Linked DNA regions of Styela clava. The protein of the gene in region 1 binds, or shares a complex with, the protein of each later gene. Links are inferred from orthologs where the notes say so. Each region holds a gene or a part of one and is shown in the gene's direction. Other genes may lie near its edges. The genes, in order: DNA polymerase delta subunit 2-like and DNA polymerase delta catalytic subunit-like.

Evidence for each region.
Region 2: DNA polymerase delta subunit 2-like (region 1) and DNA polymerase delta catalytic subunit-like share a complex: the UniProt entries of both Homo sapiens proteins name them as parts of the tetrameric DNA polymerase delta complex. The link is inferred for Styela clava from reciprocal best matches to the Homo sapiens genes POLD2 and POLD1.

What each region holds. Positions count from the first base shown.
Region 1 is NC_135259.1:14,442,008-14,458,201, reverse strand, and holds DNA polymerase delta subunit 2-like, read left to right. Parts: upstream 1-6,987; 5' UTR 6,988-6,989; coding exon 6,990-7,304; intron 7,305-7,826; coding exon 7,827-8,077; intron 8,078-8,467; coding exon 8,468-8,616; intron 8,617-8,681; coding exon 8,682-8,837; intron 8,838-9,556; coding exon 9,557-10,071; 3' UTR 10,072-10,518; downstream 10,519-16,194. Other genes in the region: ketosamine-3-kinase-like, read left to right, coding at 1,627-2,547; cell division control protein 45 homolog, read left to right, coding at 3,168-4,880; L-fucose kinase-like, read right to left, coding at 12,094-12,174, 12,824-13,047, 13,862-13,961, 14,488-14,576, 15,400-15,471. UniProt on the Homo sapiens protein: Accessory component of both the DNA polymerase delta complex and the DNA polymerase zeta complex.
Region 2 is NC_135250.1:14,614,376-14,629,905, reverse strand, and holds DNA polymerase delta catalytic subunit-like, read left to right. Parts: upstream 1-7,739; 5' UTR 7,740-8,058; coding exon 8,059-11,217; 3' UTR 11,218-11,569; downstream 11,570-15,530. UniProt on the Homo sapiens protein: As the catalytic component of the trimeric (Pol-delta3 complex) and tetrameric DNA polymerase delta complexes (Pol-delta4 complex), plays a crucial role in high fidelity genome replication, including in lagging strand synthesis, and repair.

The sequences.
Region 1 (16,194 bases):
CTATATTAAATTGGTAGAAATGTTTCTTTATTGCGATATAGCAGGGGTGGGCACACCGCGGCTCGCCAGACTTTTTGTGCGGCTCTTCTCGCTAACATAATTTATTATCCAAATTTTAACTAAAAGAAAAACTTTAATGTAAACTCTTTCAATTTATTAAAAGTAGAGTTTTCGTCAATAATTAGGACAAATTATGTTTTAGTATGAAAATCGCTGTAGCGTTGAATTTAAGTCAGTCGAGTCAGCAAATCTTTCGTCACAATGGTCAATGTTTATTGATGCGTCGGCGATATTGCAGCTTGATTGCGGTTAGTTAGTCTAGGTCAGTGTTCTTCAACCTTTTTCATCGAAGTATACCTTTTACAGTTTTTCAAGAACTTTGTATACCTTACAAATACCAATGTTTATTTAAGGCTCAAATAAACAATAAATTTTGAGCACATTTTGTACTGCAATATCATCATGCAATCTAATAGGCTAGTGACCGCTAGTTATAAATTTGACTGACTGCCTCAGCGTCGACGGGAATAATGTTCGACGTAAATCAAACAAAGTGCATGGCATCCGAAATCACCAACCCAGACACATGCCCGTATTATCTATATAATTTGTGATGTAACACTGTGCTCACGTCGGTACTTAGCGTTAATAACATTTTACATTTCATGTGCGCCGCGTTTGCATTGTTGTATCCAATTGAATATTTTATAGGCTGTACACCTTTCGTATACCCTTTATCAGTTGTTTACCCAACTTATGGTCTGGTATACACTTGGGTATACCGTATACCCGATTGAAGATCACTGGTCTAAGTTACTGTGTGATGTGTCCAAAATTAAAAAACCGAAAGTACGAAGATGAAAACAGAGTTGCCTTGTTTATCTATTTATTGTTATTAGACTCTTGTGTGAATTTCTTTTCTGTTCATAGTATTTCGATAATATTAATAAATTCACAAATTTGCGGCTCTCTTTTAAAGTTCTGACTTGCAGCATGCGACTCTTATACTAAAAAATTTTGCCCACCCCTGCGATATAGAGATGCACTAACTTATTCACGGTCTAATAAAATTGAAACCCCAATGAACTACGGAAAAAATGATAAAAAAATCCAAGTCCTGAAATAGTGCCTGATACGTGCCTACTTATAAACTGTTTGTTTATTACACACACAAATTATGGGGATAAATAAACCTAAGATGATACCTATACTACGTGTCACTGCTGTATTTCTGCATTCAGGCATTTGTTGCATGCTACACACACAAATTATGGGGATAAATAAACCTAAGATGATACCTATACTGTGTGTCACTGCTGTATTTCTGCATTCAGGCATTTGTTGCATGCTTTATTTGCCTTTTTCTTCAGTTCTCCTACAGTCCTGGGGCCCAGAAGCTTGAATTTATATCAAGATCTCAGAGAAATTTAAGAATATCTTTTGTTCATGTATTATCATATTGCAGTATTGTTCAAAGCGTTATCTAAAAATCTGAATTTAACCTTACCTTGGTACAATGGTATAGACAAGTTTAAATTTAGTTATTTCATGTTCCTTATTATTTCTAAAGTTTAAATGTGCAAATAATATGTTTAGGCCTAGAGTGGATTGATTTCGACTTTCAAAATGGAGAGTTTGCTCAAAGCTGAGTTGAATTATTCGTTTGTAAAAAGCACAGGACAGGGTGGAGGGGGATGCATTAGTAGTGGAAACGTCTATGATACAGATAAAGGGAAAATATTTGTGAAAGATAATGCGAAGTCTGGAGCAAAACTTATGTTTGATGGAGAGTATGCTGGACTGAAAGCCATTGCGGAAACAAATACTATCCGTGTTCCAAAGCCATTCAAAGTGATAAAAAGGTCACATGGTGCAATTTTAGTCATGGAATATTTAAATATGCATTCTTTGCATGGTCATGCAAAGGAACTGGGAAGAAAAATGGCAGAATTGCATCTTAGCAATGCAAAAAATGAAAGACTGCAGGAACAAGAAAGTTCCTATGTAGGGAAATTATCATCAAATTTTGTGACAAAATTTGGCTTTGATACGACAACATGTTGTGGGTATTTGCCTCTGGTGAATGAGTGGTGTAATAATTGGGTAAATTTTTATCTTCAAAATCGTTTGAAACCACAACTTGACATGGTGGAACAGAAATATCACGACAGTGAAGCTAGAAAACTGTGGCCAGATGTTGAACATAATTTCCCTAAGTTATTTCCGAGTTCGCTGGAAATCAAACCTGCTTTATTGCACGGTGACTTGTGGGGTGGAAATACAGCAGAACTTGAAAACGAACCTTGTATTTTTGATCCAGGAGCATTCTATGGCCACTCTGAGTTTGATCTAGCAATTTCTCATATGTTTGGTGGTTTTCCGTCATCATTTTTCAGTGAATATCATTCTTTGATTCCTAAAGCTGAAGGGTTTAATGAACGATTAAAAGCATATCAACTTTTTCATTATTTAAATCATTGGAATCATTTTGGTGGGGGATATCGAGAATCTTCATTATCAATTATGAGAAATCTTGCAAAATTGTAATCTACTATGATTTTAATGTTTTCAAAGTGATTTCTCATTTTAATTTTTTGATGTGATACCAGCTTTATAAGCTAACCTTCATCTTTGAGTTATATTCATAAATCTTGATTAAATTGTTGTGCATGTTTTAATATAGAAATTTTTGCCTTTTGCCATGTCTTTTCTTATTTAACTTTACTGTGATTTCTGTTTAATATTGATTTGGATGGGATGGGATTCTGTGCTACTTAAGTATGCTGAATTGTTTTAAGTTGAGTCGACAATTTCAGTATCACCTTTTTTCCAAATTTATTTAAATGTTGATTATTTTGCCTGTGTATCATCCCATAAAAATAATGTTCTAATATTGATAATTTTAAAACAGATATTTTTTCATCATTTATTTCAGAGTGAAAATCTGAAATTTATGAGATACCTACATTTAGACATAATATTGAGTATATGAATATTGAAATCAATTGTATAAAAAAAAAAAATTTTGTTATGGGAATTTATTACGCCGAGATAAAGTTCATTATTAGTTTAATTTTATTTATTTTCGCTAAATTTTCATTCTCCACTTTCTATGCTTACAATTTCAGAAACTAAGTAGTACTTTCAATAAATATCTACATGTCACAATGTTAATTGCTGATCCTGTGAAAGATTTTTATCGAAAGATTCTCCATGAACGAGTTCTCTTACTTGTAGCCTTGGATGTCGATGCACTCGCTGCATGTAAGATTTTACAGGCATTATTCAAATCTGATCATGTGCAATATACATTGGTACCCGTGGAGAATCAAGTCGACGTGGAGAAAGCATTCAATGACCACAAAGATCAATATAATAATGTTATAATGTTGAATTGTGGAGGAAATATCGATCTGTTGGAAATTCTAGAACCTCCAGACGAAGTTACCATTTATGTCATTGACAGTCATAGACCTGTTGATTTGGTAAATTTTTATTGTGAACGACAAGTGTATTTACTTATAAAGCACGAACATGACGAGCTTGCGGCGATTCCAGACTATGATGATCTTTATAAAGAGGAAGATTCAGATGCAGAGAAAGATTCTGGAGCTGAATCTGATGATCCTACGCAACAGAGTTCCAAGAGGAGAAGGTTCGATGAGGATGTTCTTGAAAAAAGAAGAGAGAGGCGTCACTGGGAGGAAAAAAGAAAGGAAATTTTATTTGAATACGAAGAGTTTTCTTATAATGGTACATCTGTTGCCTTGTTGATGTACGAACTCGCGTGGAAAATGTCTAAAGACAACAATGACACCTTGTGGTGGGGAATCATCGGTGTTACGGACCAATTTCAAAACAAAAAAATTGGGCGTGATAAGTATGTTTCTAGCGTTCTCGAACTTCAAGGTCATATGTCAAGGTTGAATCACAGATTTGAGGACGAAGAAAATTCAACTTCTATCAATTGTATGAAAATAAATTTCGAACATGATCTTGACGTTGCACTTTATCGCCATTGGTCATTATTCGAGAGCCTATGTCACTCACCATCAACTGCAACAGTCTTCAAAGTCTGGACAAATAACGGAATGAAACGATTGCATCAATTTCTAGCAGAAATGGGAATTCCTTTAACACAATGTAAACAAAATTATAACTTCATGGATACAAAGGTCAGAGAAAATTTACCTTCTCTAGTTGAGGAGGCTGCTCAAAAATTTGGCCTCACAAACATAAGATACCAATCATTCTCCGCACAGTTTGGATACAATCATAAAATGTGCGCCAGTGATATGGTTTATTCAGTCAGTGCAATTTTAGAAAATGATGAAACGGAAAATGAAGAAACTTGTAATAATTTCGTTGATGCTTTAGATGCATTGTCAAAAATAAACTCTGAATCACTTATAAAAGGCATCAAGTTAGCAAAAGAGCAACTTGAAGCTATGAAAAATCATGTTAGTTCATTTATTGACATTGGACAGGTAATGAGTTACGGACCTTTCCTTTACTCTTATGTTAAAGAAGGTGGACCGGATGTAAAATACTTTAGCCATCCTATATACTTGAATTACTTCACCCACCATCTTTTGCACTCTTATCTGCGATCTCTCGGAAAAACAAAACGCGATAAGGCAAAAAATTTACCGCTTGTCATGTGCGCACCTTTGAATGCTGAGCAGGGATTATCAATACTAATTGGTGTACCACCACTTGCTGAAGATTCACGCAAAAATCTTTTTGGACGAGCTTTTTTACACTCAGCTGAAAGAACAAACTCACAAACTGCTCATGATTATTTTGATCCTTGTATTATGACTTTAAAAACAGAAGATAGGAGTAAATTTTTAGATGCCCTGATTACTATTATGTCCTAGAATCATAATATTGAATTGTTCTTTCTCACATTTTTATGTTCCATAATCTATATTGTTTCTTATAATATGTTCTGTAGGTCTGTGGTATTTGTTTTACTACCCCTATTTTTTCTATGTATTCAATAGTTTCGTATTAGTATTCACTACCCTATCGAAATCATAAAGTCCGATTCGAATATTGGTGAATGACAAGTATTTTTTGAAAGTCTTGTTTTTATGATTTTCTATATCCTCAATTTGAAAACCCTCAGCAGCAGTCTCTGATGCATACAAAACAAATAACAAATTTGCGGGTCTTAACCCACCCCCTAGTCACATGCCTTGGTGAAAATTATGCTTGAAGTAGAATTTCCTGCTCGTTTCTGACTCTGATGAATGTTCACTAAGGTATGCAAACAAATATTGTTTACTAGCATTGAAATGTTTGCACTATGCTTGCTTGCGTGGTGCTATTTCGATAAAAAAATTTGCAATTATTATGTGAATGTGTTTTGTTCAAATATTTTTTGAAATGGAAGATATTTTGAAGCAAGAACTAGACCTTTCATGGATCCACTTCACAGGAGAGACAGGCAGTGGAGAAATATGCACTGGGAAAGCTTACAACACTAATAAAGGAAAAATATTTGTAAAGCATTATGAACGAAGCACTGCAATGGCAACGTTTGAGGGTGAATGTGCTAGCTTACAAACTATTGAGGATACTAAAATTATAAAAGTTCCCAAATATAAAAAGATTGTTCAATTAGACGATGGAAGTGCATTACTGGCATTAGAGTTTCTTAATATGAAGCCGCTCGAGAAACATGCCAAATTAATGGGACAAAAACTAGCAGAGCTACATCTACTTAATGCCAAAAAAATTGCAAAAATGGAGAAAAATGAATCATACGTTGGAAAGTTGGATGATACCGTTGTTGTACAAAACTTTGGATTTGATACTGTCACTTATAATGGCCATTTGAGACAGAAGAATACTTGGTGTAGCGATTGGTTGTCATTTTTCGTTCAACAGAGATTGAAACCCCATATAGACAAGTTAGAAATAAAATACGGGCATTGTGAAGCTTTATCACTTTGGCCAATTGTTGAAAGAAATATTCCTAAGCTTTTTCCTAAAGGATTAAAAATCACACCATCTCTTTTACATGGTGACCTATGGTATGGAAACGCAGGAGAATTAGAAAAGGAGCCCTGTGTTTTTGATCCTATCGCTTTTTATGGACATTCTGAATATGATTTATCTATGCCTCATGTTTTTGGTGGATTTTCTGAACTCTTTTTTGACGAGTATCATAAGTTTCTACCTAAAGCTCAAGATTTTGATAAGAGAGAGAAATTATATTTATTGTTGTTATATCTTAATCATTGGAATCAACTAGGTCCAGTACATGATGGACGTCAATATCGTGAAAATGCACTGAAATATATGAGATATCTTGCTAATCTGTAAATGTTTCTTGATAAAACTTTGTATGAATCCAAATTCATACTTTTCTTTTGTAATACGCATCCCAATTAAGGCAAATTTTAGCTAATGCTCCACCATTCAACATGGAATTTACTGCTTGAATATATGTTCTGAAACCTGAATTGTCAGGGCTTTGAGGGTGATGGAAACTGATCACGATGATCCGCTTTGAGACACGATTAATCAACTGAGATGTCTGTTCCAAATAGGCCTAAGTTTGACATTGCGACAAGACAGCCAGCTACTGATATATATTCGAGGCTTTAATGTTTTTTTGAAATGATCGAAAAATTTATTGTTTTTCTATTGCCTACTCAATTTTTACACTCTAGGCATAGGGTTTGAATTCCAGAATTTCAACTAGGGTGATTAATCGAGCGTAAAATGCTATCAATAGGCTACTGTGCCCAACAAGTTAAGGTGATAAAATAATTATTTCTGTGTCTATACTGTCTTTAAAATTTAATTTATTCCCAGCAAATTTCAATGTGATGAAATATCAGTAATTCTGGAAGCCAATGTAGCAGTTGTTTTACAAAATTTTCTATATTTTCATGTATTTGTGTAATGCATTTATCTAATATTCAACTGTACTCTTTTGCTTAGTGACAATATACATAACAATAATATTCTTCGCAATGCCACCAACAGAAGATGAAGAAACTGCAATGGACACATCTGAGGATACTGAAAAATTTGTGAGGCCAATATGCCTACGTAAAGACTGCTCTGAGCGTTTTCGAAGACGAAATTTGCCTTGCGAAAAACAGTATGCCAACATGTACTTTGTAAGAAGTAACCTCATGAAGAAGAGACTTGAGATTGCGGCTGAAGCTAAGTGGGGTGACGAGTATCCCGTACGGCAATTAGCAAAAGTGAAACTGAATGAAAAATGCTGTGTTATTGGAATTTTGTTCAAGCATATGGATTTACAACCAAGTATTTTGAAAGAGGTCTGTTTTGATTTTTCTCAAAGCAGCGAGTATTTGCTGATGTATAAAGCAGTGCTGCATAGTCGGAGTTTGAATTTTAGACTTACTGGTAATTATAATAGTCGCAGCCAAAATTTGCAACGACACCCAAAAGCACCAAATTCACTTGGCATTCTTAACATACAATTGGAGAAAGTTTGCACATTTCAAAGTTTTTGTGGTCAAAATTTTTTGGTTTTCTTGGAGCTGCAGTCGAAGAATTTTGTCAACCTGAAGTCCGATTGAGTATGACTCATGATTGGAGTCCGAGTTTAGTATAAAATTTCCCAGAAGTCTTGTATAAAATGCAGATCGAAAATTCCCTTTTCTGGAGTATGTCGTATGTGAATATTATGTTATTACCGTAATAACAACAAATTTTATATCCAAAAATTTACTCATTGTAATGCGTTTATCTGATGACATTCCTATAATATTGTAGGCAGTGTGAAAATTACCTCACTCAACAAAGTAATCAATGTTCTCGTTTTTTACTCGTTACAGGTAAGTGAGGAGCACAATTTACAAGTTCAACCTACTCGAGAAAAATTTGTCTCGGAAAATGATAGTTTAATTCTCGAAGACACTTTGCAAAGAATATCGCTCAGTGGAAACATAGACCCACAAACATCATACACTGGAACAGTCGTGGCATTAGCAGGAATCGAAGATAAAGCAGGACAGTTTCGTGTTGATGATTTTACCTTCGCTGGAATTGGGAAACAAGAACCACCACCAAAGTTAGATGAAGATAGGTATGCTAGATTTGAATAGTTTTGGAGTTGCTTTTACCTTCGAATTTTGTTGCACATTCAAAATTCCTTGTCGTTGTCGCATTACTGAATCTTTTGTTCTTTTTGAGCACAGCCACAGAGGAACAAAAAATATTAAAGTAGTGAGATATAAGGGAATTCGATTTATTTTTGGAATTATTAGGAGTGCTCACTGACACATTTTTCACCTGTCCTTGTTGTCACAATTGGTTCAGCCTCAAAAAACTAATTACTAAATTAATCACAATAAATATATTAAACTTATTCGACCAATTGCAAAATCGATGCATATTCAAAACATCCTACTGACTGGTTTCTATTGAATAGTAAGTATCCTGTAAACTTCATTGTTGTTTTCTACACTTTACCCAGGTTTGTTTTACTACTCTCTGGTCTGGGACTTGGAGCTAAGAATGAAAAACTACTTTCAATACAATTAATGATTGATTATATTATTGGTTTACTTGGAGAACCATCAGATCAGAAATCAAGTTCATCCATTGTTCATGTCATTATTGCAGGTTAGTTCTCACAATGTAAAAGCTAGGGTCTTTCTGGATTATGCTATTCTTTTGCGTCATTCCAGGCAATTCACTCAGTGTTGAGACACAGGATAAAGACTCTCAAAAACGTGCAAAGTATTTAACAATTAAGGAGGAAGCTCAGAGTGTTGCTGCAATGCAAACATTGGATGATTTTCTTGTACAACTCTTACCTCAGATCAGTGTGGATGTCATGAGCGGTGGGTCTTTTTGTTGTCCATCGGATTAAATCGAGTTTTAAAAAAACGCTTTTCAAATTTGGAATTTGCAACCTATTTCTTAGATTCTATGAGTAGGGACTTCTCTTTAGAAATCAATATGGCTCCGAGAAGTCATTACTCATAGAATCTAAAAATAGGTTACAAATTCCAGATTTGAAAGTATTTGATTAGAACCTGTAAATTGATGTCGTTTCGCACAATATATGGCTCCAATTCTGTCAATTCTCATCTCCCCAATAATTCTACATTTTGTTGACATCTTTACTCGTGACAGTGCATTTGCTGATACATAAGAAGCTATTTATTTTTGTATTATTACTGCCAGGGTGAGCTGGTGGGCAAGAGATTTGAACATGATTAATCAAAATTACGATACAGTCAGATTGAACCTTCTAACCACCGTGGCATTGCACCAATCATATTTCTGCTTTCATGTGAATCAGTATAAATATTGTTTACCTATTTTACATCAAGTTGTGTAAAGGGACTGAAACCTATGCGCAGGAGGTATATTCACTTGGCTAACACAGACGGTCCTCGAACTAAAATAAGGAAAATCGTAATAAAATTATGACCTAACCTAACCCGGTACACATACTACGGTCTACGGGAGTACAGAATTTTTTTCATCATATACATGTTATAGTTTCAAATTTTTATCATACGCATACTTTTACTATGATGTACATACTTTTCAGGTGAATATGATCCGACAAACTTTATGTTACCACAGCAACCATTACATAGTTGCATGTTTCCAAAATCAGGATCTTATAGAACAAGCACATTTAAGACTGTCACTAACCCTTATGAGTGTGAGATCGAAGAAGTAAAAATTCTTGGTACATCAGGACAAAACATCAAAAACCTTCAGCAATTTGGAAATGAAAGTGACTCAATGAAACTACTGGAACAGACACTATTAAGTGCACATCTTGCACCAACTGCACCTGATTCACTGGGTTGTTTTCCTTATTATGAAAACGACCCCTTTATCATCCCAGAAGACAATTTTCCACATGTTTATTTCGCAGGGAATCAAGAGACTTACGGTGCAAAAACCATCACTGGTAACGATGGTCAGTCAGTTTTGGCGATAAGTGTGCCGAGCTTTGATAAAACTGAGACAGCAGTTTTACTGAATTTACGTACTTTGACTTGCGAACCAATAACGTTTGGAGATTTTTGGGATTCTTCAGAGCCTGAAAAATGATGTGTGGTCAAACATTTTATCCCTTAATGATGAGCTATTTCCCAAAATTAGCGGTCATTCAAGATACTCATTAGTGCAAAGAATCTCAATAAAAACACATTGACTGTTAATTAATCAGAAAAAAATCTGTTGATGTCAAAGACACAGTATGGAACAAAATTTCCTCACATTAATATGAAGTTAGGCTTGTTTCTTTACGACTCTGAATGCCTCAAACTAGTTTGCAGTATTTGGTGAAGGTACATACCTACAATGACAGGTTGTGATGAAAAGTAATTGTAAACTGATTGAATATTCTCAGAATTCCAGTCCCAGCTGTTACACACTTCTATTCACATTATAGAATCTAGATCAGGTTGTTATCAATATCGTCACTAGTTAACATTTATTTATAAATATACCACATGCTTACTACATTCACTGCCAATACATTTTGAAGACTTATGATCTATAGAAGTTTTAGTGAGGCAATTGAATTGGGGCCCCAGAATGAATTGCTTGGATATGTCGAATAACGACCTGCTTTGCCAACTACCACAAATGACTGGACTAGGGTCATATGATATGAAATCTGGTTTACCAATGTGCTTTTCACTTCTAGCTTGTCTGAGAGATATTTGGAAACTAGCCTTCTACGTGAAGAAAAATAGCAAGGTGCGCATTTATCAGGTATTCTATTTCAAGTAACACACCTTCTACCATTTATTTACCTTTACCATTCATCTAACTTATGAATAATGTTACAACTGTCTGATATTCAAGATTTTAATGGTAAGCAATGGCGATAAGTAACAAGATTTGCAAGTACAGCATTTAGCTGTGAATTGTGGGCTATGAAGACCACGATTGCTCAATTTTAATGATTATATTTATTGACATTGTTTTAAAGCCACATGCTATAGAACAGATGAGGAAAAACTGTATATAACTGTCCCTAATGGCGCCGATTCACAGTTGCTCAGTCTAAGACCTAATCTGTTCATCTCGAAAAAGAGATTCGTGATAGTACTGTTTAAAGCCATCTGCAGGGATGGGATTCAAAAGCGGGTTATCTTTTGTACCGAACCCACCACAATAAGGTTCAGAAAATATGTGTCTCGTTATGTAAACTGCATTAACATAACATGCTTTAGAAAACTAATGCATAACTCTGGATGCCAAATTTCACACTAGTTGTCAGATGCGATGTATATAAATCATTTGCTGTGGTTGTCCGACATTTAAAACAAGATGGCGAACCACCTGGATCTCAACAGTTTTGAAATGTGAAAAATAGTGGGTAATTGGCACATTATATTAACCTCAGAACCAGCTACTACTACAGAGGTCCGAGGTCACATTCAATAAAATTGTGAAACGGTTCATAGACAATTTTAAAGTCCTACTTTGAAATTGCACAAGACAAATTGAAAGAAGTGTTTATTTCATTTGAATCACTGTAATAAAAAAGTAAACAAACAATATAGCTGAATAATAGCAAGAAACAAAATTTGATGCTCATACAAACGATGGCATAAGTTTATAAACGACTGCGGTCATATTGCATAAACTGCATATAACAAGACATTTGATTTTCAAGTTAGTGAAAGCAATTATTATGAGCGTTTTTTTTGCACATGAGTGTCTAGGTTAACAACCTAAGTTAAATTTAGAAATTTGCGATCATGATACACTATTGAAGAAATTTTGGTTTTTAGACTAAAGGTCTAAAGCAGGGCTGTGCAAAGTGCGGCCCAAATGCAGCCTGCAAAGGAAAATTGTGCGGCCCGCGGAGGCAACTGGAGAGCAGTTTAAAAAAAATTATTATTAAAAGATACAAAAGCTAACAATTTAGGCGTTTTAACTTATCATTTCTGCAAGGACCCCTAATGATGACATGAGATCAATAACAAAAAGACATCATTTTGTGCCTGCAACTAATAGAAAGCTGTGTTAAATGTAGGTGCGGCCCGCGGTTTCACCCGGTTATTGATATTTGGCCCGCCTGCGAAAAAGGTTGCACACCCCTGGTCTAAAGGATGATCAGTCATCCACACTTGTGGTAGATATCAAAGCACCAGTCATGTCTACCGTAGCATTATACACAGTCAAATCTTCAGCACCCTGGAAATGAAAAGAATTTAGTATGAATCCTGACAAATGGAGAATTATTTCATAGAGCCAGACAGCAGTTTTATGTTATTTTCATGACTTAATCAACTTTCATGAGATCAGAGCATGCGGATCTTCACATAACCAGCTGGTTTGCAGTCATGTCAAGAGTCATGTGTAGATATATTATAGCTTATAATCGAAAAGTAGAATTCAGTCTTTCAACAGCACTCAATCTTACCTAGTGGTGGGATTCAAAATTTTGGAAAAAGCTGTAGTTTTGTATCGTGCCCACTAATAAAACAGGTTGGCTCATTTCATATAATGTATGTGTGCCACTACATAAGCTGCATTAACATGACACACTTTTCGTAAATTTTATATTAACTTTTGAAATGCCAAATATAACTTGTGTTGTCATCTGTGTGTGCGTAAACCATTTGTTGCATTCCTCTAACATTTGAAACAAAAAACAAGCACGGGTTTAATGCAAACTCCCAGACTCTTACCACTGCTCCCTTTTATTGCAGTCCTAATAAAAGAATATATGCATACGAAATGGTTTCTATTTGCTATTTTCACTACTATAATATTTCAGTTCCGATCGAGTTGAGTAAAATGTGGACTTCGACAAATTTTGCAAAATGTAAGCGGCACTCACCTTTATATTTTTTACTAGATCATAGATAAACTCTTTAGTCTGTGGTTCCTTCAATAAAACACACAGAAAACCTCCACCCCCTGCTCCAGCGAGTGTTTGTCCTAAGGAATAAGGTTGCAGGACTTTCATTATCTCTGTACAAGACGCCGGTTCACAACCTGGCGCCATTATTTTCTTTTGCTTCCAGTATTCATTAATGCATTCACCCACTGCTCCAATGTCACCTATAAAAAAAATAATAGAATTTACATATTTATCCAGAGGTGAGGAAAGCCAATAAGGAGACGACTTGATCATATAGTAAACCATTTCCGTCCAAAGCCGTAGCTGACCAGTGGTTACGTGACCAACCTATGGCGACGGTGAATCCAGCAATCCTCACCAAATAATTATCCCCAAAGATTAGAACCTGAGAACCCGTGCAGGGTAATCAGAGGTGGAGAGTGTATTCATACCATGAACAGTGAGAGAAATGAAAAGCATCATTATATAAGGATACATGTCCAACAGTTACATTAAGTGTCCAAACCTGCACGGTGCAATGTTGCTAGATAATGTTGTGTATATGGCTAAATAGCAACCCACTTTCTCCTAAATTCTTCTCTTTTTTTTTAAATTCCCCCGGCTCGCATTTAATAAGTAAACTAACACAAAATAATTGAATCCCTCAATGTTGACAAAAAAGTCACGTTATGGTCATTTATGTGTATAAAAGTAAGCTTCCACATCGATTTGATTAAATGTGCATGCTATATGAAAAATTTCTATGTCATAAACGGTGTTAAAGTGAAGTGTGAATGACTAGACTTTCGTTATGTTAACGTATTTAAAATTCTGCGTAGAACTGTTTTTAGTTAACAAAAGATGATAACTAAGAAAATCAAAATCAACAATATGTGTCAATATATAAGTTGCAATCAAAAATCAACTAAAAACTAGTAAAGAAGCCATTTTGAAACTTAAATTTCAACATCAAAATTTTTTTGAAAGTTTGTAATATTAATTTGAAGACAAATTTCTGAATAGTATTTTTATTACCTTTTAAAAATGATTCCTCACAATTAAGAGCATTGTTGACAAGATTTTTACAATTCTTGATAATTTTTGGAGTTTTAGTATACCAGTTCCGTAGGACATCCTGAAATAACAATTTGTTGCTTGAGATATTAAAAAAAAAAATTAATCAATTATTTCTTATTTACAACAATCATACCAAAACTTCCTATTAATTTAATCAAAATAGGGATACATAAGTCAGACCTTAAAATTTCGCTGTTATGAAGAATATAATCCTGATATTTATCAATTTTAAAAATCAAGTTCTGTATATGCGTCGTTCTATACCACAATGTAGTTAAATGTAGAACAGTCATGTAGAAATGCCGTAGAAATGCCAAATTATACAAGGAATTTAAATTTTTATCTGGAATGCTGAAGTTGAATATTTTGCTTGTATAGGTTGAAAATTACTCTCACATTTATCTCCCTGTACTCGATAAAGTTCTAATATTCCTTATTGCTATTACAATACTTAATTATGCATACACCATAACTCTCCAAATGTTGAAGTGTGACTTTCTCATAACACTAGCTAAGAATTCAATATGGCATGCATTTCAGACAGGCCTAATTTCCACAACCATTCATACTATTATACCCAATACCTGCAACATGTTTCTAGCAAGTCTTGTTTTTCCAGTATATATCAGTTTTAGTCTTTCTTCAAATTTCCCAAGGAAATCTTTACCGACAGCTGATAAAGTAATTAGCTGTAGTCAATAACTAGTAACCTTAATAAAAAATTTGGGTATAAATATAGCAAGCAAATTACAATATGTACAAATTTTCTATTTGAGTCTTAATGACCAGGAATTTAAAAGTAACAAATTATCTATGATACAGAATGCATTCTCAAATATTAATTTCAAACAAGAAATATGTTATGAATTTGATGGACTCAAGGTATATTGTAGTGCAGATAAACGAAAATAGGTTTTATTTTGAATATGTTCAAATTTTTGTATAGTGTCAGAAGTTGTATGAAGTACCATATATTATTCCCAATCATCAGATGTTAAATGCTTAAAATGAAAAATTGAAAAATAAAAAATGTTCATAAATTAAGAACTTACTATATTAAACAAACCAACTTTTATTGTATTCGAATAGCTGTTTCATTTTGGACTATCTGTGATACTATTTTGTAGTAATAGTTAAATACCATTGGGTCTTGCATCACAATTCCTACTACATAGCTGGGCCAGATTTAAACAATTTAAAAAAATTTTTTTTTTTTTAGAAAAGTAAGAAATACACAAGACAAAATGAGTTTATCAGGTCTATTTTCTTTTACATGTTACAGCAATCAATCATCGAATGCAAAAGATTAGATTATTCAAAATGTTCTTTATTTTAGGAGCAACAACCAATTTCATCTACCATATCACCCCAACTGAACATCGGAATAGCCCTAATGGAAGAAGTCAAATGAAGTTGCGAACCGCTAACTGTCAGGCTTTGTTAAAAAATCGCAGGCTTTTAGAGATAGGGTAAAGTAAACTGAAAACCTATCTCACCAATTGGTTTCATTCCTATTTTCAGAGGAAGTTCATTCTCTGAGAAACATCTCTTGATACCACCTACCATTCCTAAAAAGATGAAGTAATGAAACAATTTATCAATTCGGAGATTTTACGATCAAATTACAGTAGATTGCAGACAATCATAATCCTTTGAGCGCTGCCCCTGACTACAACAATATATCAGTAATCGAACATAATTTGTTCGGGATAGGTGTTTGACTACCAATTCGTTACAGTACCAAAACTTTTTCGCCATAAGAAACAATGGTAAATATTTTCTTCACTTCTTCCTTTAAGGTACTCGTTTTTTAGAAGCATGATCAACGGCACGAAAAAGCACTAAATTACAACAATTTCTTAACACATAATATCCAGGTAACGTTTTGACCCAAATTGATGCTTGTTGAATTGTCGAGAGGCAGCCAAGACGTGCGGTTTTTGGTCGACTACCGAGATATCTATGTATGTTCCTTTCACAGGGTAAACATCTTGGATTTGAACCTTTTCACCCACTATCTCATCCCTCATGTAGTGAATTGGATAGGAGGCTCAGTGGTTTTCAACCTTTTTTCTTTCAGAGCCCATTTTTGTTGCACAAAAAATTGTACTTTGGCCCATTTACTTTCTCATGCAAGGGGAGAAATACAGGAAAAACAAGAAATTGTTTTTACAAAGATAGACACTTTGAGTAATTAAAATGAGAATTACCACCCAGAGCCAAAAAGCAGCAGAATCATTTATTTCGATAAAAGTTTGACTAATTTATCAAAAACCCTGGCAGTGTTTCTG
Region 2 (15,530 bases), on another chromosome or scaffold:
GTCTATGAAGTAATTATCCAGAATATCTTCCAATTTGGTCTGACGTCATGTTTCCTCTCAATAGAGAGAGAGAGAGAGATTTATTGTTTTGTCAACCGTAAACGAACAATGGTATACAAAATAATATATACAATATACACAAAGTTAATTCGGTATAGACTGGGGGGAGCGATACGACCATAAGGTCATCGGAGTCAGCTCCCCCCAAGTTCACTATTAGGATTCACAGTTAAATGTATATAAATAAGAAATAAAATAAAAAAGATACTCATTGGAGAGTTGACCAGAACTCTTACAGAATATTTTTGAGATTAGGCTATAAGATGGTTTGATCAATGGCATTTTCAGCTTTTAGGTCTGGGGTTTGACTCCTAGTAGGTCCATTTCATAACATTTTTTTGTTTTGCATGCAATGTAGGAGACTATCTAATAAATACAATACTTATGTATTAAGCTGGTTGAATATTGTTCGTCACATCAAAAATTTCTACTGAAAGATAGAAGCCAGAACATACCAGTGGATACGGTAACTGCCTGAGGCTTGAAATAAGCGATAATTGGAGTGATATACCGGTAACAGTTAATACATGTATGATTAGGGGAAGATCGAGGACCTTGAAAATTTATCATGAAGCAAATTCTCCAGTCCAGTCTCGGATGATTTCATACTTTGCCAAGATACATTAAATTCAATTGGGCTTCAAATGACAACATGTACAAATCACTTTGTTTGAAATATACATACAGAAAAACTTGGTGCGACAAATGGCAGAAAATTTTCACTATTAAGACATGCAACGGCAAGAACAATATGATACAAAGATGGAAAACTTGATAATGTGACTATTTGATTACAATATTATATTCATAGTGCTTATAATGAAATTGCTTATTATATCATTCTTTATAAATAGTACCTTACAGTTTGCTGAACAAATAATCACTATTAATAAATAAATAAATGCCCTTTATTTCAATCCAGAGTGTATCTGTTGGCATTTATTCCTAATCTAGTAAGGATGAAGGGTACACAGAGAGAAAGAAATGAATTAGATTTCGGAAGGCATACTAAAAAATGTACCTAATTACATGGAGTTCGTGATGTCCAGCGAACTGAATATTCGAAATCGGATCAAAAACGATTCGAATTGTTTTCGGCCAATATTATCTACATAAAGCGGAAATATCCTCACGACCCGATATTTCTCTAGCCTTCATATTGCGATGAAAAAGGGTGTCTCTCCTAATGCCGAGGGTATATATCATGCGTAGTCATGACTGACAAGTTATTATTGGCAGTATATGTTTAGAGAGAGTACATAAGGGAAAAAGAGCAATTTAGTATCCATAGAAAAACGATAGTTCCATCAATGCAAATCAATTCGAACATTTCAAGTCAGTAATCGGGAAGCACACATTGTGGAGGTTTTATGATGGCAATACTTAGTATTAACCATCTATTAACAAGACAAATAACTGCACTCTTGCATTCTGATGGCTGGTACAGTAACAATAGGTTCATCTAGGGATATTATCATCATCAAACTAGCTACATTTTTGAAATTTTTGGGCAACAGTTTTATTTATATTAATGTTTATTAAAAAATTGCACAAATTCAGACTAGTGATAACAGGGTTAAAAGAGTATATACAGGCCACACATGCCCTATTGAAACTGAATATATAAGAATTGAGTAAATAAGGTATTGGGAGTCTCTGTAATTTTCAACTTTCAACACTCATATTTTAGGGAGGCATGTGATTTCCATACTCCATTGATAACTCTGGAAACATAGTTATACAAAATATCATCAGTATCATTTTAAATGTAACAGCATAATACGTTATTACAATATCGAAATAGGATTTTTGGAGGATATTCGTTTCGACAAATTATACGATTCGAATCAAACAATTATTCGATTTTGGACAGCCTCATGGAGTAAAAATAAATAAATAAAAATAAATTAAAAATCTAATGAAACATTTGATATTGCAAATATCAATCCTAGACAGAGTATGGCTAGGTCATTTTAGAGAAAATTGGACATTCAAGAAGATTTCAATCTTGTTATTTTCAACATGTAAATATAATAATGTAGCTATGCAAGCAATGCAATAATCGAATGATGTATAAAATCTGATTGAATAATTTTGGAGTAAACTTTTCGAATAAATCTCATTTATAGAAATGCAATTTTAAAGAGAAACAGTACAACAGTCAATAAACATTTAAGATAATTTTACAAAAGATTGTAAACATATAAGTCTATAGGAAAACAAAAATAATTAAAGTAAGCATCGTATTTAAGTCTTGGCATAGTAAATAATATATTAAAGTCGGTACTACACATTGCAGGGCATACAGATGCTGAAGTCATCAATAGTTTAAGGTATTGACTATTGATCCAAGGTTACGATTAATCATAGGGATGTTAGAACTGCTCCTGTTACTATTGGCTCAGTCCTACAAAAAGTTTTGAAATACGCAGTGTCAATACTAGCAGCATATGCAGACACATTACCAATCAAATAGATTAATGGATGATGATCGAATAAAACAGCATTTCAGAATATGATATATTAAAAGCATGGTGTTTGGGGTTGCACACAGTGTAATTGTAATTATAATATGAATATATATGAACAAAATGCATTGATTCATAGATTAAATTTAAGGTTAGGACATAGTGATATCATGACAAATGCACACTATAGGAAATAGTACACAAAGCATATGATTTCAGTTGACCACGTTGCAGAATCATCCTATTTTTGGCAGAAGTAAAGTGAATACGGTAAAGATATAGATATATACATGTATAGCTCAGATATAATTCTACTAATGGTTTGTAAAGATTGGGAGAAGCAGACCAAACACAAGAACAATAGTAAATATATTTGTTCCTGGATCTTGAAATAATGTATAGTGAAAAATAAGTTGATCTAGATGTTATACTGTACACGGTGTAAAAAGTAGGGTCATGAATAAATAGTTTAACCTTGGTCAAAAAATGTGAATGCACAAAATGGGGGTGAAATTGTTATTATTGAAAATGACTTTCAGGAAACTTAATTATAGAATATGCAATGTTAACACAAACAGTATAAGCAGATACATAGTATTCCTAATCACATAAATTCAGGATTGCACACAGTATACAATTATGATTACAATTATGATGAACACTGTTCATTGAAATGTTTACATTTCAAGGTTAGAGCTTTATGGCCATTTTAACAAATGCAAGCTATAGGTAATTATCAGTTGTAGGTAATACTACATCATGTTTTGCCAATAGTTAAAGAAAATAAAATGAAAAAACAAATAGTTATGCAAGCACATGTAAATTACAGGATTTAATACCAAAAAGACATGGTAATCAATAAAAACAGTTATATAAACTCCCTACCATATAAGTCCAAGATCAACCAATCAAATCCAACGGTGTGTGGGACAGCATACAAGCGGTTGGTTGGATGATTAGGGTATTAACTTTTGGGGAACTTTATGACGCAGTTATTAATAAATGTCTGATATTAATATTTATCGATGAGATGTTTCATATATTTATACTTAAAACTATTGTATGATGATTCTTTGATATTGTCAGGAATACTGTTCCAAATACATGGACCAGTGAATTTTATGGATCTCTGAGCCAAATTTGAGCTTGTTCTATTAACAAAATAGGCTCCTCTACCAGCCGACCGAGTATTATGTCCATGGATATCACTAGAGTTTGTGAAGTAGTTTTCAAATGCATCCGGCAAAATACCCCATTTAGATCGAAACATAAATTTCGCAACTTCAAATTTATATACATCCGCAAGTTTGAGAATACTCATCTGTCTGTATATAGGATCTAAGCTTTCACGCATACGTGCGCCACTCATTAATCTTAGGGCACGATTTTGAAGTACACAAATCCTATTGAGATAAGTTTTACAAGCAGAGCCCCATGCCACAATTCCATATTGTAAATGGGAATAGAAGAGTGAAAAATACACAGTTTTTAAAACTTTTTTTGGTACAAATTTTTTTAATTTAGTCATGGCCCCAATTGCCCTTGAAAGCCGACCAGCTAGTTGGTTGATATGTGCTTGCCAATCAAGTTTTTTATCCAGGATGACTCCAAGGTATTTTACACAATCATGGTTAGTCAATTCAAAATCGTTTAGAGTGAACTTAGGGTTGTAATTGGAATTTTTAAGCTTTTTGAAACAATTAATTAGTAAGACTTGCGTCTTGTTGGGATTAACGGTGAGTTTGTTGTGAGTGAGCCAATCAGAAATATTATGAAGTTCAACATTAACTTTTAGTTCCAAGTCGGACAGATTCCTTGTAGCAGAGGTGGAACTGGTGTCATCCGCAAAAAGTTTGATCGAAGCATTAGTGGCATGGACAATATCATTGATATGGAGCAAAAAAAGGGTCGGGCCGAGTACAGATCCCTGGGGAACTCCTACAGTCACATTTGCTTTCAGTGATTCAGTACCAGATATGTTCACAAATTGACTTCTATTTTCCAAATAGCTAGCAAACAACTTGTTTACAACACCGCGAATTTCATAATGACTTAATTTACGAATTAAAATTTTGTTTCACTTCAATTTATGTTATTTTGTTCTATTTATTAATTATCCTCCAATGAAACGGTTAATACAACCAAACACCCCAAAGAAACGGAAAGCACACATCAAAAACAACAATACCAGGCAGTAAAATGTAAGAAAGCAATATACACCATAAAAACACTAAACTAGCTACTTACAATTTGCAAAATAGGCTGAAAATAACTTATGACAGGCATTTTAAAAGACTATATACAATTCTATGTGTGCACAACATTTGAACAGTACAGATGATAGCTAATACCATGACAAAAATGAAACAACAACACTAAATGAACTGCAATGGCACTACACGCAAACAGCAACAGGGTCCCAACATTAGCTCTCCGTCCAGCACAAAAACATCCAACCAACCCTAATCCAACAGTCACAAAACCACAAACAAACATCCCCGATAACCCACCGGATATCAGAGGCACTTCCACAGACACAAAACACCCAAAATCCAGCCACACTCAGACAACTGCACCCTGCCAACCACAGCACACGCTAACAGGCCACATCCAGAAGACTGATCGACAGTGTCACATCGCCCCCAGTGTCTTCAATGCCAATGCCAATTCTTCCTATACTTTACCATTGCAAAATTTTCGGGGCTATTTTAAGAGTGCTTTTGCGAGTTGGCGCCTGTAAAATGGGGTATGTGTTACAAACCATCATTATGATTCATGGCATACAACAATCTTTTTTTTAAAAGTACCGGTAAAAAATTTCAGGCTAGTCTATCACAGCTATTTCTACACTAATTTTTATTAGTGCAATCAAATTAAAACTCCTAGGAAGACAGAGTGATCATTGAATTATTTGATTTATATTTAAGTTTCCGAGACACAACTGAAAATTAACGAATAGAGTTCAAAAACGCGAAAACGAGGTAATGTTTACAACCACACTTGAAAATCTGTCTGAGTGAGAAAAGTGTCTGAGCGGATGCGAAAAGGGGGCATTGTTACGTCACTTTTTGCATCTTGCTGATTAGCCAATGTCACGAAGTAAACAAGGAAAACGATGCTCGGGGAAAGGTATACCATACTTATATATCTTTGATATGACATTCGGTACAATTCTTCAAACGTTCGGGTGAAATTTTTCTGGCAAAGGCGGGAAATCCTTGGAATTTGTATTACAGCATTCTGGATCTGGCACTGGGCAAAGTGACTATAACACTTTGGCACTGGGGAAAGAAGCGAACGCAGTTTTTCATTCAGTCATTGCATGTGCTATATCTGATATCGTTACGTACCAGTAACGTATCTTTCAACCGGGGCCTTACTACTGTACCTGCGTAATGTACCGGTACCGCCAAACGCAGCAAACTGCACGAAGCAGAAGAATACGTTCCTGCTGTCCTGGGAACAGTGCAAAGGCGAGTGGAAGTGGTGACTCTTCTACGGCCCATGGGCCGGAACCACGGCCCATCGAAATGGGCCTCGGCCCATCAAGTTGTGTAAAGGGACAAAATAATAAAGACTAATAAATATGGGGTCTGGTATAGTTTAGTACCACATGTACTTCTAGTTGACCTGGCTCAACAATTTTTGCATATGTCAATCCTAACCCCCACCTGACCACGTCACCGAAAAATTACATCATTTCGACGTCACAGTGGCGTAATAAGGCCCACCGAAGTATGCGGATGCTCGTCCAAAACGCACAGACGATCACCCGAAATCGAGCAAGCAATTTCTCTCGTTTTCTCGTCACAACGATCACTATAGGAGAGAGATCGCCGGCTTTAGCAAGTTCGTTATCAGCGGCGCAGATGTCATTTCGGGCGATCGTAATTATACTTTGGCAATCCCCATGGCGTGATGGTGACGTCGTAGTGACGTAATTTTTGGATGGCATAGTCAGGTGGGGGTTAGGAATAGCATATGCAAAATTCGTTATGCTACGCCCACCGGAAGTACTTGTCGTACTAAATTATACTAGACCCTAAATATGTAAATCCTACCCACTCCCCGAACTTATAATAGAACTACATTGTGAAAAATCTGAACAAAATTTTGTCCTAACCCTAACCTGGTACACATACTTCAGGTGTATCTTTTTCTGTAGCTTGGTATTTTGCTTTATTTTTATGTAAAGGCTTATCGTAAGAAAAGGTTTGGTGGCATCCCACGATTTTTTTTGGTTTGAATATTGACAATTTTATAAAAATTGAAAATTTTGGTGAGATAATGGATTTTTTTCTGATGGGCGCGGCCCATAGCTTGATGGGCCAGGGCCCATGTGGCCCAATTAGATGGGCCGTGGCCCCGGCCCATGGGCCTTAGAAGAGTCACCACCCCTGTAACGACAGGCAGACAGGAAACAGCACGAAACATACGGTAAAACAGTAAAAAGCTTAATATGTAATGTTTTTCAATTATATCTGTATATACAGATATATGTGTACCGTATGTTAGTACAGTCTGATAGTACTGTAGGGATACGATAAGGGTACTGTAAATACTGATATATGTATAACGTATATTGATGTAAAGATGTATCATGATTTAATTCCCCTAAATCCAGTACAGCACGCTATCCAAATTCCAAGAATTCCCCTCCATTTGGCTCAATAAAACAAACACTCTATGTGTCTCACAAACGAGGGGCGTCTGGGACCACGTCAGATGCTTCATATCGCGCCATGATTGTCTTAATAATAATCTAAATTAATCGCGGCTGTCACGTCCCCAAAATTGCCGTTTTTTGCTAAGAACTCTCAAATGCCACAGTAAAAAAAATTTTTCTTTGGTAAATCGGATTATTTTTTCCCAAGGAATTCAATGATGACGTTATTAGATTGCGCTTTTCTATAGTATTTTGCGCAACTCCATTATACTGTATTATTACCGATATTGAGGAACAACAGTGTCCATCAGTCCATAGAATCAAATCTTGGAATCCTGACTTTATAATCCAACCCAGAGAGTTACTCAATCAAGTAGAATTTATTTTGATTCCTTCTGTTCTAAAATATTATCAAGGTATTGCCATAATAATATGTAATTAGGACTGGGCAAAATATTCGTATAGCGAATCGAATATTAAATTATTCGAATGGCATTTTACTATTTGAATATCCAGTACCACTTTGCTTGGACACGGAACTCGCGCCTCTCGAAATCGATCGTGAATCGCGCCAGAATTCACCTACAACGCTCGATTGTTGAAATGTCTTGTCTGAAAGTTACTATGTACTTGAAAATTTTAATAACAAAATCTAAAATTTTACTCTTTTTCTGTATCGGTGGAGCCTCTCAAACTGTTTTTCAATGTCAGAATGTCTTGTTATAATTATAAATTATGGTATATGCTTTTATTCTCGTGTTAGTCTTCAGCTTTTTAAATATATGTATTTTATGGGTTTAAACTTGCCACTTTGTTTGTAGAATGACAAAATTATTCTAAAGGTAATTTAATTTTTACACAGTTATGGATAAGAGAAAGCCAAACAATGATGGTAGCTCTACCTCCAATGGCAAAAAGATCAAGATGTCAGACATTGCCACACAGAACAACTGGGGAAGACCAACATTACCAACAATAGATCCAAACACTTACAACATACAAATTCAACAATTGGACTTAGATACATATTTGTCCCAAGAGCCTGTGGCGGGTATATATGATATTCCATATGGATGTGCTCCAGTGGTTCGCATGTACGGCATAACTGAAAATGAACACTCTGTATTATGTCATGTACATGGGTTTCTGCCATATTTTTATATTCAAGCCATGAAAGGTTTCAACCCAAATGACTGTGACGAATTCTGTGAATGTCTCAACGATGTTGTTTTACGTGACATGAAAGGAAATAAAGAAGTCAAAGTGGCTGTAGCAAAAGTTGAATACTGCATGAAGCAAAATATGTATGGTTATAACAGCCTGGGAAAAGTCCCATTTCTCAAAGTCACAGTTGCAGTTCCACGACTTGTTGCCACCACACGAAGGATTCTGAGAGAAGGTTTCAAAACTAAAAAATACCCAACTCACAATTATCAATCATTTGAGAGCAATATTGATTTTGAAATTCGTTTTATGGTTGATACAAAAGTGGTTGGTTGCAATTGGGTAGAAATTCCAGCAGGAAAGTATAAGGTGCGATCTGGATCAAACTGTGTTTCACAGGCTCAACTTGAAGTTGATATAAAATGGACAGATCTCATCAGTCATGAACCGGAAGGCGAATGGCAAAAAATTGGGCCATTGAGGGTGCTGAGTTTTGACATTGAATGTGCAGGTAGAAAAGGCATTTTCCCAGAGCCTGAAATTGATCCTGTCATTCAAATTGCTTCAATGGTGAAACGAGAAGGAGAAAAAGAACCGTTCGTTAGAACAATATTCACTTTGAAGAGCTGTGCTTCTATTGTTGGCTCACAGGTTTTTTCCTTTGACTCAGAATCTGAACTGTTACTGGCATGGGTGAATTTTTTGAAAGAGGTTGATCCCGATATCATCACTGGTTATAACATAGAAAACTTTGATCTTCCATACCTGATCAACCGTTCGCAAGCACTGAAAGTAAAGGAGTTTGCCTATTTTGGACGAATAAAAAATGTTCAATCAAAAGTGAGGGAAACAAGATTCCAGTCAAAGCAAATGGGAAGCAGAGAAACAAAACATGTCAATATTGAAGGCAGAGTGCAGTTTGATGTATTTGTCGCTCTTTTGCGAGAACAAAAGTTGCGTTCTTATAGTTTAAATGCAGTGAGTTTTCATTTTCTTGGTGAACAAAAGGAAGATGTCCACCATTCCATCATAACAGAGTTGCAGGAGGGAAATGAACAAACAAGAAGACGACTAGCTGTATATTGCTTAAAGGATGCTTTACTTCCTTTACGTCTTCTTGATAAACTGATGCTTATCATTAATTATATTGAAATGTCCAGGGTGACTGGGGTGCCAATGACATATCTGCTTACTAGAGGTCAAAGTATCAAGGTTATGTCACAATTGTTGCGAAAGACATCGGTGGAGGATTTGTTAATGCCAGTAATGGAGAGCAGTGGAAGTGACGAGCAGTATACAGGTGCCACTGTTATAGAGCCTGTTAAAGGTTACTATAATATTCCTATAACAACTCTCGATTTCTCCTCGTTGTACCCCTCAATTATGCAGGCTCACAATTTGTGCTACACCACTTTGTTGAAAAACAGTAAGGAAAAGGAGAAATTGCAGCCAGAAGATTACATCACTACTCCTACGGGTGATACATTTGTGAAAGCATCTGTTAGAAAAGGATTGCTCCCAAAAATCTTGGATAGTTTGCTCACAGCCCGTCGTAAAGCTAAGGCTGACATGAAAGTGGAAACAGATCCATTTAAACGAAGTGTGCTGGATGGTCGTCAATTAGCCTTGAAAATTAGCTGTAATTCGGTGTATGGTTTTACAGGTGCTCAGGTTGGAAAGTTGCCATGTTTAGAGATATCAAGCAGTGTCACCGGCTTTGGTCGAATGATGATTGATCAGACAAAACATCATGTTGAGAAGAAATATACAATTGATAATGGTTATTTTGCCAATGCTTCAGTTGTGTATGGAGACACAGATTCAGTAATGATTAAATTTGGGGTAAAAACTGTTGCAGAAAGCATGGAACTGGGCCGTGAAGCTGCTGGATTTGTCTCTGATCAGTTTCCTTACCCAATTAAACTGGAATTTGAAAAGGTGTATTTTCCATATCTATTGATTAACAAAAAAAGATATGCAGGATTGTACTTCTCTACTAGTGCTGAAGTTCATGATAAAATGGATTGCAAAGGTATTGAAACCGTTCGTCGGGATAATGCGCCTCTCACTGCCAATCTGATCAACAGTTGCCTGCAGAAGCTTTTGATAGATAGAGACCCTGATTCTGCAGTTGCATTTGCAAAACAAACCATTTCTGATTTGTTGTGCAATAGAATCGATATTTCTCAGCTAATCATAACAAAAGAGTTGACAAAAACAAAAGAACAATATGCTGCAAAACAGGCTCATGTTGAACTAGCTGAACGAATGCGTAAACGAGATGCTGGCAGTGCACCGCAACTAGGTGATAGAGTTCCTTACGTTATCATCTGCGGTGCCAAGGGTCAAGCGGCATACTTAAAATCAGAAGATCCCATTTATGTGCTCGAAAATAACATCCCTATCGATACAGAGCATTACTTGAAACATCAATTATCTCAACCCCTCCTTCGTATCTTTGAGCCTGTTTTGGGTGAAGGAAAAGCGGAGTCAGTTTTGTTAAAGGGAGATCACACTCGTGTGCGCAAAGTTGTTACCTCAAAAGTTGGTGGCTTGATGGCTTTTGCCAAAAAGCGAGAGACTTGCATTGGATGCAAATCGTTGCTCAAACACTCTGGTGCTGTTTGTGATCACTGCGAAGAACGGGAATCTGAGATCTACCAAAAGGAAATTCTAAAATTGTCATCTTTTGAAGAAAAATATTCCAGACTGTGGACTCAATGTCAGCGTTGTCAAGGTTCACTTCATGAAGAGGTTTTGTGCACAAGCAGGGATTGCCCAATATTTTACATGAGAAAAAAAATTCAAATGAATTTGGAATCTCAACGAAAAGTGGTAATGCGATTTGGTGATTGGTAAATTCTGTTTTATCATGATATATTCCAAGATTTATGTTACACAATTTTTGCGTAAATCATGATTCATGATATCATTGTTGACGTGTTAAATGTAACAGGAAAACTGACTTTTTGAATATTAAAGTGTAACATTGATTTTCTTTAATACAATTCCTTTGGTCGCTGGGTCAGTTTTGCCGGATTTCTTGTAATATAGAAAATTTGATGTAATGTGGGAATAATGACATTAATAGTTTTTTTTCTGTTTTTTGGGGGGTTTGCTTACGTCTTCATAGACAGTTGACATAAGCAGGTTTAATTAATATCTGCTATAATGAGTGTATTGTTGAAAAATAAAAAATTGTGATATCATTTCCATTTATCATGTTAAGGAGTAAAATTTAGACAGATAAATACGCCTTGGAGGGGGTTTGGGTGAAAGGTTAAAAGCTGCTCTAGGGCTATTTTGAACCTTTTGTTAATAGTAAGTTTTATCTGAACATCTGTGAATTAGAGATATATCGGCCAGATTTTCGGTATCAGCTAAATTTAGACCGATATTTACGATATATTTAGCTTCTCAGTATGATCCAGATTTCTTTTAAAATAGGTTAGAATACTGATCTTGAAATTATTTTTGTTTGGATGAATGGTGAACTAAGAACCGTGCACGTCCCCACCCCCGCTAGTAGAAACGGGAATCGGATTTTGACTTGTTTTTAGCCACTTATCAGCCAAACTGGCTCAAATCAATTTGAGTAATTTCGCTGCCAAATTTTTAGATTAAAATTTTTAATATTACATGGTAATAATAAAAAAATTTATCAATCGAATATTAGTGGATGTTCCGATGTGTAAAATATAAAATACGGCGTTATATTGGCACAAAATCCTGCGCACGTAACACAACGTATGAGTTTCATACGATAAGTAGGCTAAACATATATTTATTTTACCATCAACGGTAGTCAAATCCTATTAGTTTTTTAATTGAACATCGAGATTACCAGCGACAGTGCTCAATGCATCTGAAACGCATTTCGATCTCAAACATCTACTTCTTAACACATATATATATACATATATGTGTGTGATATTTCTCTTTTTTGATCCGAAATAATGCTCAAAGACTCTTATTTTAAACCGTCTGTCCTGTACACTTGAGGTAATAATTACATAGTATCGGTTGTTTTCGAATCGGCATCGGCGACAAAAGTGGTATCGGTACATCTCTACTGTGAATAGTCTCTGTTGTCCCAGACAAAGAACAACCCTGACATGATGACATTTTTGTATTCTGGTGTTCTTGTTTGTGGTCAGATCCATATTTAAATACGTTTTTCCTGGTACAAGCAATTCGTGTACTGGACTTCAAAGTGGCAATACATGATCTCTGTTGCACCAGGACAAATGAGGCTTGAAATAGAACCGAAATACGGTACTCTAGCTCAGGACTACTCAACTTGCGGTCCGAATCTTAGACCTTTCGAGTGCTAAATTTGGACCGCAGCTACTTCTTGACTTTGAACGCATTGTTTCTTTTTATTTCACAATCGTTATGTAATGCATTTTTCGCTAAACGACTATGAAAAACCGTCATTGTAATAAAAGTTTCTCAGAGCATCGACTCACTTTTGTGATTGATCAAGAAGATATTAATTCCGGCGCAACTACTGCCATGAAGTTTTAGTGACTTCTTGTATACATTTTTCGCAAATTCTTAGACATGGCAGTGAACGTTAGCTTGTTTTTGTAGCTTATAAATATTCCATGTATATATTTCACACGCTCGGCTTCACAACTGAAGCCTTACGGACACCGAAGCGTGATATTAAGCCTTGCTATTGTGTTTTGTCAAACTATGCATTTGTAATTTTGTTCCATAGCTAAAAAAATATTCTTGGAACGACCGGACCCCGGTAATTTTTAAATTTTGTATACAGACCTTTGATGAAAATAGTTGAGTAGCCATGCTCTAGCTATTTAGAAAATGTTAGAATGTTCGCATTTATATTAGGTGTGAAATTTCGACCCCGGAAAGATCCACACTGCGTTCAGTTGCCCAAAAGTATTGTTAGGCTCCGAGCTCCATCGGCCACAGCGATAATATTCCTCAGTTAAATGGAGTGGAATTTGGTTGTTCCATTATTATGTATCGACGAAACTGGTGGTAAAACTAAAATGCGTAACCTTAGAATGAAACCTTGTTTTCAAGCTGCCAGATCGCCAAGAATATTGGTATTTTTGTGACATAGTAACCGCCTTGCTTATATAAAATGTCAGATTTTATCTTACTTACTTATCAATAATTACTTATCAATGTGTAAAATGTTGACAAAAGCTAACCCGAACGTACGGAATATCGTGGTTTTTCGGCTCGGCGGAGTGGCGCATCGTTCTAAGCGTTAGGAATACGCTTGCCACCGCATCTCTGATTATTTGCGTGGGTTCGCAGGTTCGAATCCCATGCGGGGATGATTATGTGTGAGAGGATTGCTGGACTCCTCGCCGCCGTAGGGTAGCTCACATAACCGCTGGTCGGTAATGGCTTCCTCCACCATCAAGTCCATGCTTCCGAAAACGAATAACTGGCTAACTAATCCTATACCCGACCTGGACTGGTAACCGGCCGTGGTTCGCTATATGATTAAGCCATATTATCGGATTTCCTCTCCCCCGGGATAAATATGTAAATCCTATCCTAAGTGTGCAATGTTACTACCTGGAAAATATTTAGCGATGGGGGACAGTTTGGTGAAGTCGATGCCTAAAGTGCGACATTTATTAAAACGATATAATTATGTTTTCTTTATGTATTGATTGCATATGTGCGTGTCGGATCGGTACCGCTGGTCAAATTATGCAAATATGATGACCAAAGCCAGAAGACCAGCCAGAGAAGTCGTGTTTTTCGATACGTGATCATCAACGCGCGACATGATCGTACGTAGCCTACGTACTATTTCCTTTATCAATACCTTTTCATCTGAAATCTGTACGTTTCAAACCATACTGGAGGTTTTGTTTGCTTTCCCGATTCTATAATCAGTTTTATTTATTTTGTTTTTATTATTATTTTGTTTGTTTTATCAATTACTTTATCGTCTATGCTGAATATGGAGTCGAAATATACTTATGATCCGCGTGCGGTTAAGTAGAATCTGTTTAAAATTAAGTGCGATTGCAAACCATTTTCACCAATCCAATCTGTTTGCCACTTTCATTAGACCAGCGTTTCCCAACCTTTATTGGCCGCGGACTATTTTTTCACCATGGAAAATCTTCGCGGACTCAAGATGCGTTAATTGTGTAACCGAACTCTGCATGAAGAAGCTATAGAACCAAAAACAACAGAATTTTAACGAAGTCAGTTTATTATCCACAATTACAAATTTAAATGGGAATCATAGCGTGCTCCAGTGGCGGCGCGTGGTCATTTTGACAACCGGGGCAAGCTACTGCGGGACCAAGTCACCCCCATCTACGGGGACAGGATGAGCGCTGTAAGTTCTCCCATCATTTTATGAGTATAAAAACCATTCCATCGGTAACAACCAATCGGCAAAAGCGACAATTTTTAACGATAAGAAAGTGTCTTTAAAACCGGTCCAAGTCAAGGGATTAATAAATATAGACATAGTTTATTTTGAAACCTTTTTCAAAAGGAAAGATACAATGACATATTAACAGAAACTTCGGGAAAGCAGACAAAACCTAAAATAAGGTTTAAAACGTTACTATGAAGAAAGGAAAGGTAATGCAAAGATAAGGACATGCGTCGCTCACTCATAGATATATATGCTGCTAGACTTCTACTGCTTGAACATATATGCAACACGCCGCGGTTTCTTGGAAGCAAAATGCTCAATAACGCGCTGATTAAAGTCATGCATACCAGAAATAACGTCTCTGTGAATGGATAAAACAGCCAAGGAATTTAATCTATCTTGCTTCATTGTGTTTCTGAGATACGTTTTAATACGCTTCAGCGTGCTGAATGTTCGCTCTGCGTCGGCGGAAGAAATAGGCGTCGTCAAAATGATGTCCAGAAATTTTGCAGACGCCGCAAAGGTAGTTACTAGAGTGTTATCTATGAGGAACCCATAGAGCGCGCAAGTTGATGTGATGTTCAAAAAAGTTTGATTGGTGTATATACATCGCAATTCATTTTCCAATTTACCCACGTTTATCATGGGGTAAAATTTGGAGACAGTAGCCAACAAATGGATGGGAAATTGACGTGCAAATTTTGAAAAATTTTCGGGGTTCATCAAAGAGAACGCGGCAAGGTGTTCAGTGCGCAGACGATCGCCTATTTGATTCACCAGAATGTCA